Linked DNA regions of Nothobranchius furzeri. The protein of the gene in region 1 binds, or shares a complex with, the protein of each later gene. Links are inferred from orthologs where the notes say so. Each region holds a gene or a part of one and is shown on either strand. Other genes may lie near its edges.

Region 1 (4,468 bases):
TTTGAATAGATGGTTTTGTGAGGTGAAAGAAGAATTGGTCCCTAAAGGCTTTAGTTTGTGGTTAGGCTAAATCAGTAGGTGAAAGACTTAAGGTGTGGTTAAGTTAGAACAGAATAGACTTTAAGGATCCCACAGAGGGAAAATTCACTCGTTAAGGCAGCACATACACTTAAATAATACAGGTAAATACACAAAGGCAGTAGGCTACTATTGTAACCTTTATCAAATAAAAGAATGGATAATAATAGAAAATTTGAGTTTCTAGGAAGATGGTAAATAGCCTGTATTTGTATAGCGCCTTCTTAGGGTTCTACAACCCCCAAGGCACTTTACAAGACAATCAGTTATTCATCCATTCACACGTTGGTGATGAGGAGCTACAACGTAGCAACAGCTGCCCTGGCGAGCGCTGACAGAGGCGAATCCTGCCAAACACTGATACCACCAGTCCCTCTGACCACTACCAGCAGGCAAGGTGGGTGTCTTGCTACTGCTGTCCCATTTAATATACCGAATGACCAGAAATAACAGCATAAAGAACACAGACATACAATCGTACAATCATAATAATGTTATTTTAACTTACAGTTTAGAGGTTATATTCTGTAGCGGTTGTGCTTCCTGCTTAGACGTGTCCTTCACAAATTTTGTCAAGTGCAAGAAAAGTCACCATCCAGATTTAAAGGTATTGAACACTTGTTTAATCAATACATCTGTAGTGGTCTCTAGTAGGAATGAATACCTTGTATGTCATATTCTGGGGGGAAAAACAGCGGTGTGCCATTTTCAGGAACTAGAAGTGAGCCACATCCCAGCTGAGCTTCAGAGCGCAGGATTTGGAATCTTTTTTCCTTGTATTGGAACATCCTGCCTCGGGTTGGATAACAGCAACATGACTCTACCACTGACTTGCAATGTGGATGTTTTATCTCCACAAATACCTTAAAGCTTGGTTTATGCTTGACGCATTCACTTTCCGCTTGGTGATGCGGCTCGCGGATGGAACGCGCTTCACAACTCGCAGCGTTTATGGTTCACGCGGCTTGTCTCTGCGGTGAGCCAATATTCTCCCAAACTGAACGGGGCAGCATGAAGCTCTACGGCATGCATCCAACACTAAACCATAGTAGAAATTACTGTTGTTTACAACATGGCATTCCAGCATTTTTAACAGCGTCCTCGTCTTTTCCGACAGTGCAAGCTATTTCTCTCCAAGATTTATTAACAACACGTTGATCAAGGTGATCTCTGAGAGCTGAATCATACAAATGTCTGTATTTACGAACCTCTGCCATACTAGTTCTTGCCAGTCCGCCATGTTTTTCCACGTCCGACCGTCCGCATGGTTAGAATTTTTTCATAGGTGCGCGTTGCGGAAATTTTGGGCCGTGGTTGTTAAAATGACGCAATTTCACAGCGCGGACCTCGCGGACGCGTCAAGCATAAACCAAGCTTTAGCCTAAAGGAGTTCTGCTGTGTGGGGGAGTTTCTAATGCTAACGTTAGCTTCTACTTGCCAAGTCGTTCTCTGCGGTTTCCTGGGCGCTAAACCATCTACAGCCTTCCCTGTCGTGAGTCAAGATAGGTGGGTTCAGGAACGTTCAGTGACAGTGTGATGTAGATCTGTCAGGATTTTCTAATCCTAGATTTTCACTGTGTATTTTCTAGCAAAAGCTAATGCAGGAGATAGGTGTAGGAGATTGTTTTCATGTTCAGCCTGCATGAAAAACTCAAGAGTGACTGATTATAATCAGAAATAAGTTTTAAGTATTTTTTCTCAGTGTTCCACATCTTTAAACAAGTATGTGTGAGCATGCTGCTGGACAATTACTGCACTGCATTTGAATACAACTGATAAAGGTCTCTAGTGCAGGGACACACAGAACCGTTCAAACGCCTAGGGACAGTTTTCAACCTGACATGCGTGTTTTTAGTCTACGAGGAAGCTCACGCATGCACGGGGGTGGGGGTGTTGCAAACATGCAGGTCATGGAATTTGTGACCTCCTAGACATCAATGTTACAAACTGTACCGCCAAGCAATCCTAAAGTGTAAAAGTGCATTTCAAAATTATAAACCTTTTATAACTAAGCCGTCTTTGTTTACTTTAGTGGTGCAATTTTCGACAGCACTATGAGCTGTATTCATCTCATGATGCTGTTGTATGATTATGACCTGTAGGAGGTGTATTAAACAAACTTGTGGCCCGACTGGTTTATCCCTTACGCCCCTTCACTCGACCAATTGGAAACAAGCTAACCTAAACTTTAGCCAGCTGGCAAAGATCGTCAGACACAAAACAAAAAACGCATAACGTTAACACAACAATGTGGTATCCATCCGTGAACATGTAACTGTGATTGTCTGCAATAGTTTAGAGAGACAAAAAAGAAAATTGTATGCTTCCGAATCTGTTAGCATAACCTGCTAACACTCAGGTATCGCGATAATTTAACAGGTCAAGCGTGTTCAAAATGTTTCATTCTAATTTTTACCTCATGAACTTTGCTAAACGTTAGATTTACTTCCATATAATCTGCACCAGTTGGTGTAGACATACTTATTTTTATTGTCTCCTGCAGCCTACCAGGCCACATTCAGACCACCTTAAATAACCTCTAGGATTTCCAAGTTAACATCCGAAACTATGTGGATCTCCGTACGAAGACGTTCAAATCATTTCAACTCACGCTGATTCTGATGGATCTACACTGAAGCAGCCTTGGTGCGTTTATTCCTCTCGTTTCACGCACAGCATGAAAGCAGATCCCATTGATTCTGCGCATTGCGCTCACAGCCGCCATTCGGATAGTCCAGTCGCTTGGTTTAATTCAGTGAGATTGCGTGTTTGTAAACTAACTGTACAGGTATGCCAGACCTTAACGGTACAATAAACTTAACTCTTGAAACCCTTCAGTTTGTGTCCATCCTGTCACTCTTCTTCTTTGAACCAGTAGGTCAGAGGTAGAACAGATACGCTGCTGCCCCCTGCAGGTCATAAACTGGTTTTACGTTGATACTAATTCCAGTAACCTCTAGGGTCCTGTGTCCGTGGTCCACATTAGCTCCTTGCACTTTAATTTTTTTTTCTCTTCTACTTGGACCCTTTTGTTATTTATAGAAACTTGATATTGACTTTAATAAAAAAATCACTTTATTTCCGGACATTTGCAGGTTATTTTTATGAACGTATTTAACTTCTAAGTAACTTATTGTTCTTGTCACATTGCTCTTTGATCAAACACTACCAGAAAAACTGAAATCTCTGCTTATATTTATAATCTTTACTAATATATGAGCAAATCCGACATCGGCACGTTGCACACATGACGTCACCACAGAATCTCTGCCATTTTCCCTGTTTTTCTCCGTGTCTGCTTCGATGATGTCACTTTCATAAAGCGCATTTGTAGTCCTGGACTTATTACACAAAACTTAAAATCTCTCCCCCCCTTTCGAAAATAAGCACGTTCTTGGTATTAAAATGCATCTTTATGGACATCATATGTGAAATCCATGGCACATAACAAGCAGAATTAGAAAATAGCGTCTTTAGCACCATTGACTTGCATTCATTTTTTTGTTTTTCTGGGGACCCGTGGTCCGGAAGTAGATGGGCGTGGCTTAGGCTCTATGGAGTGCTGTCTGTCACCTATGATTGACTGTCACTATGGTAATGCTATGGAATCTTGCGTTACCATAGTTACAGCTCAGGTGCATCATTTAAAATGCTCTTTCAGACTTCAGTTCCATCTCGAGTGAGTAGGACCTTTTCTCTGCGATCTCTGTGTTTGCTGACTTTAGTCTTCCAGAGAGCAGCTCTAGCATGTAATAAAACTACCCACAAACAAACCAGCCCAACATCTGACATGTTTAGACTTTCAGATTTATCTGAAGTGTTTCCTGTGCTTTACTGGGAGACTTTAACATTCCTCAAGGTAAACTGGTTTTATCATTTATATAAAATACACCTGCTGGGAAAAAAAATAAAAAAATAAACAACAACCCCTTAAGCAGGTCAGATTACAGATAAAAAGTCAAGATAAAACTCATTTGAATCTGAAATATGAGTTATAAACGTACATTTCTATAACTAGACCTACATGCTATCTGCCGTGTACAGTAGTTGTGTCTGGAGAAGGGACTGATCTTTATTTCTGCACCAGTTTGACAGAAATATAAATAAATGCCACTTTTTCATCAGTGAATAAGTTATAAATTTAATAACATTAAGTGAACAAACTATTTTGACTTGTTTACATTTAAAAATGGATCCATCAGCTAATAGAAGAGTCATTTGGCTTGATTTAGCAAACAGAAAAGTCAAGAGGCTCAACTGCAGGTTATTTTTATGTACGTATTTAACTTCTAAGTAACTTATTGTTCTTGTCACATTGCTCTTTGATCAAACACTACCAGAAAAACTGAAATCTCTGTTTATATTTATAATCTTTACTAATGTATGAGCA
Region 2 (3,818 bases), on another chromosome or scaffold:
TAATTAATGGGGAGCACTAGGTAAAAGGGTTTAGCCTTAACACACTAAGACCTGATAAACCAGATGGGAAACAGTTTAGTAATAAGAACATGAGGTATTCATCTAGAAGAGTCAATTAGACTGCCTTTCATCTGTTTATGCTGCACATATAATCATTAACATATTGAAATGTTAGTGTTGAAAAGTGCATCAGCCACAGACCAGACATGAGCAGTAGTGATGCACCGATATGAAATTTTTGGGCCGATATAGATATTAAGATCACTGTGATGGCCGATAACCGATATTTGCCGATATCGATGTACTGACATTAATGCTTCTAAAATCTGCAGATTTTGTATAGAATAAAAATTATTAAAGCTGAATTTACGTTATTATGTACACACACCACATACATTTACACTTCTGAGATTATTACAATCACTGTGACATGACTAAACAATTACACATAAACTCCCCTCACCCTCTGAAGCAAGCAAACAAATGGTGACCAGATGGAAAAAAAAATGGTTGATAATATCGGCCCGTTTTTTTTTTTTTTCGAACCGATACCGATATGTTAAAAAATGACTAACATCGGCCGATAACAATATTGATGCTGATATATTGTCCATCCCCAATAATTAATTCTCATTGAATTCAAATGTGTAAAGAGGTTTACCTTGATACCAGGGCAGTGGACAAAGAAGGCTTCGGGACTCTGTGAGTGGTAAAGGGACCCATGGCCAACGCAACCCCACGGAGCCCGAATGGTGAGATTCCCACAGTCAAACAAGTTCCCAGAACGGTAGCGGTACTTGGCTGCTTCATTCACAATCTGGAAAGAGACAAAAGCTAATTGGAATCATACTTTTATATGTTATTTGACAGCTGTTTGTAAATATGTGATATGTTGTCCTGCTTGCTTGTGAAATAACAGATTTTATCATCAAAACACTTTTTTTATTTTCTCAAACTCAAATCTTTATTTATATAGCACTTAATCATACAATGCATGCAACTCAAAGTGCTTAAAAAATTAAAAAGGGCCCGCATACCGACATTCACTCCCATCCCCTGAATTTTAATCAATCAATCAATCAATCAATTTTATTTGTAGAGCACCTTCCACAATGTTATCAGAAGCCCAAAGTGCTGAACAGCATCATAAAAACATTCTCAGTACCTGGGCATAAGAGCAAGATAAAAACATTAAATCAAAAAATAACAAGCAAGCAATATTACAAATACAGAGAGGTAACGGAATGAGACTAATCAATTAAAAACAAATGGTGGACAAAATAAGATCAAGCATCTTGATCAAAAAGAAGAAGTATTAAAAACCATAATGACAGGGCAATTCAATGAAACCTATCGCTGAAAAGCAATCAAATAGAAATGAGTCTTTAAACGAGACTTAAAGACTTGAAGGGACAGTGCCTGCCTAATGGTCAATGGCAATTCATTCCACAGAGTTGGAGCCAAAACAGAAAATACACGATAACTAGGGCTGGGGGTAAACGATTATTTTTAAAACGATTATTCTGACGATTATTTTATCGAATAGTCGACTATTCTAATGACTATTTAGAAAATTAATCTAATGATTATTTTTCTATTGCACAATTAACAAAAACCAGAAAATCTCAAATAAATTCCTCAAAAAATTGATAAATTCTTACTGTAAGAGAATAAACACTACAGGCCTTCCATTTTGTGTAACACTGCTTTTATTGTGTTGCGGTTGGTTATGTTCTGGTGACATGTAGAACTTGGGAGTGCAGGCTGCTGCCTGAGAGGTGGTAGAAGATGGAGTGTCGCCATGCTGCTTTGTTTTGGTCACTTATGTGCGTGAGGCGAGTGGTGTTACGACCCTTCCTGGGGAGTTTGGCTCGTGTGCAAAAAGGAAGGGACAATAACGGGATTTAAAAGTTAAAATGATGATCAGGTTTATTTACAACTACAAAAACTCATAAATCTTTCCATCCACAGGTTGGGAATAATAAAACTAATTCTGCCTGTGGAGAATTAAAACAAAGTACAAATAACTAGGGATGTCCCACTGGGCAACGATTACTGAGTTCTGGACCAAAATAAGGATCTCCAAAAGTCCAAACTCTAAACTGGGTGGTTAAACCAAACTTAAGGTGATATTTTACACTAAACCGAAAACCCACAACACTCTAAATGTAATAAAAGGGAGATCTGCACCACAAAAAAGATGAACTCTAAACCAAAACGTAACAGCTTATCCAAACGCAAGAAGCTGTTAGCGAAGATGCCAACAGTAGCTTTACCAACATTAAGTTCAAGTTACCAAATTTAAATAAACCAAAACCACCCAGCAGCAAACAGACCAGCACGGAGGAGAGACTGATACCACCAAAACAGCTCTCCTAATGTCTGAAAGAAGCTCCTTAATGAAGGGAGAAACGCTCCCGGTGATGTCCTACATCTGCGGTAGAGACGAAGCAGCGCATCTGACCCCGGAAGTTGTTGTCCGTTGCCGGGAGACGAAGGCGGGCAACACAGGAAAATGATCTAGTAGTGGACGGACATTGTTCCGGGTCTTCGGTATTTGGCGGAGATGTTATTGAAGGCGGAGAAGAGGGCGAACTAGAGGAAAAACAGGCAGATTCCTCCTCTATTTACAAACTCCTGGGGATGCAACAAGTGGGCGCGGTGCGTCGACTTCCGGATCTGACGTCGACAAATTTTTAGAATTGAGCCGTCGACGTCGTCGAGGCTTCGCTACAGCCCTAACGATAACCCCTAGATCGATATTTGGACCGTGGGACCACCTCGGGGACCTGCTCGGCTGAGCGAAGAGACCGAGATGGAACATACTTGTGCAAAAGTGCAGTAATGCAAGAGGGGGCACTGCCCTGGAGGGCCTCATAAACAAGAGTTAGGATCTTAAATTTAGCTCGATATTGCACCGGCAGCCAGCACTGGAGTAATGTGATCTCGGCATCTAGTACCTGTCAAGAACCTAGCCACTAAAAACAGTCTGACAATAAAATCCCCCTCACAACACTCATCCTCTGGCACACACGCACGCAGACACGCACACACACACACACACACACACATGCACACACACACATGCATGCCCCTCCCCAAGGAAAAAAACACAATGGACTGAGATCAGACGAGCCAGACCAGCTAAGATATGGACAAGGAAACGCCATCAGGGGAGTCATCCGCCCCGACAGCAGCAGATTCACAGCAGCAGCCGAGGCACCGACACAGGGCGCCCAGGGCAGCGAGGGCGAAGACCCCCACCTCCACCTAGGCACACCTGGAAAGCAGGCCGCCACAGCCGACCACCGCCCCCGGGGCAGAGGGCACCCACGGAGGAAACACAGGAAAAAGGTAAAATTAAGATTAAAATATAATCCATCCCGCAGCGCTCCTCTGTGACATTGGGGGTGGGGTGGTTGCACATGTTCCGCTGCTGTTTCTCACCAGTATCAACTGATGGAGGGCTCTAGATTTGCTGCGCCATACGTGTCAGCAGACACAGTAGGGTCGGGGAGGGGGGCAGGGCATGAAGCTTAGCCTGGCGGGTGGGCAAGCAAAGCCTCTCGGGCCGCCAGGCTTATAAAGCGCTGAGGGAAACTGATTTGGATGTAAATACCCTCAAATAAAAGCTGACAGTCTGCAGTTAAAGCACATCTTGTTCATTTCATTTGATATCCATTGTGCTGGTGTATAAAATAACTTATCTGCTCACAGATTCCATTCTTTTTTTTTCTCGACAGTTGGGGACCCATGGTCTGGAAGTAGGTGGGTGTGACTCCCTATGAAGTTTTTGTGATGCAACAGCAGGAGAAACG

What was found.
Region 2: the proteins of bckdha (region 1) and bckdhb are in contact, whole or in part, in a crystal structure (PDB 1V16), measured with the Homo sapiens proteins. The link is inferred for Nothobranchius furzeri from reciprocal best matches to the Homo sapiens genes BCKDHA and BCKDHB. Residues at the interface, in NP_000700.1 of Homo sapiens: Phe155, Leu185, Gly186, Lys187, Arg189, Gln190, Gly196, Cys197, Lys198, Phe202, Val203, Thr204, Ser206, Pro208, Thr211, Pro214, Gln215, Val217, Gly218, Ala219, Tyr221, Ala222, Arg225, Gly244, Asp245, Ala248, Asn251, Phe252, Thr255, Leu256; in NP_000047.1 of Homo sapiens: Pro89, Thr90, Val92, Asp117, Arg118, Phe120, Asn121, Thr122, Pro123, Cys125, Gln127, Gly128, Ile129, Gly131, Phe132, Ile134, Gly135, Ile136, Val138, Thr139, Asp158, Gln159, Asn162, Glu163, Ala165, Tyr167, Arg168, Tyr169, Arg170, Ser171.

Annotation. Positions count from the first base shown.
Region 1 is NC_091753.1:46,809,753-46,814,220, forward strand, and holds the start of bckdha (2-oxoisovalerate dehydrogenase subunit alpha, mitochondrial), read right to left. Parts: upstream 2,981-4,468; 5' UTR 2,804-2,980; coding exon 2,690-2,803; intron 1-2,689. UniProt on the Homo sapiens protein: Together with BCKDHB forms the heterotetrameric E1 subunit of the mitochondrial branched-chain alpha-ketoacid dehydrogenase (BCKD) complex.
Region 2 is NC_091745.1:53,415,017-53,418,834, forward strand, and holds part of bckdhb (2-oxoisovalerate dehydrogenase subunit beta, mitochondrial), read right to left. Parts: intron 818-3,818; coding exon 662-817; intron 1-661. UniProt on the Homo sapiens protein: Together with BCKDHA forms the heterotetrameric E1 subunit of the mitochondrial branched-chain alpha-ketoacid dehydrogenase (BCKD) complex.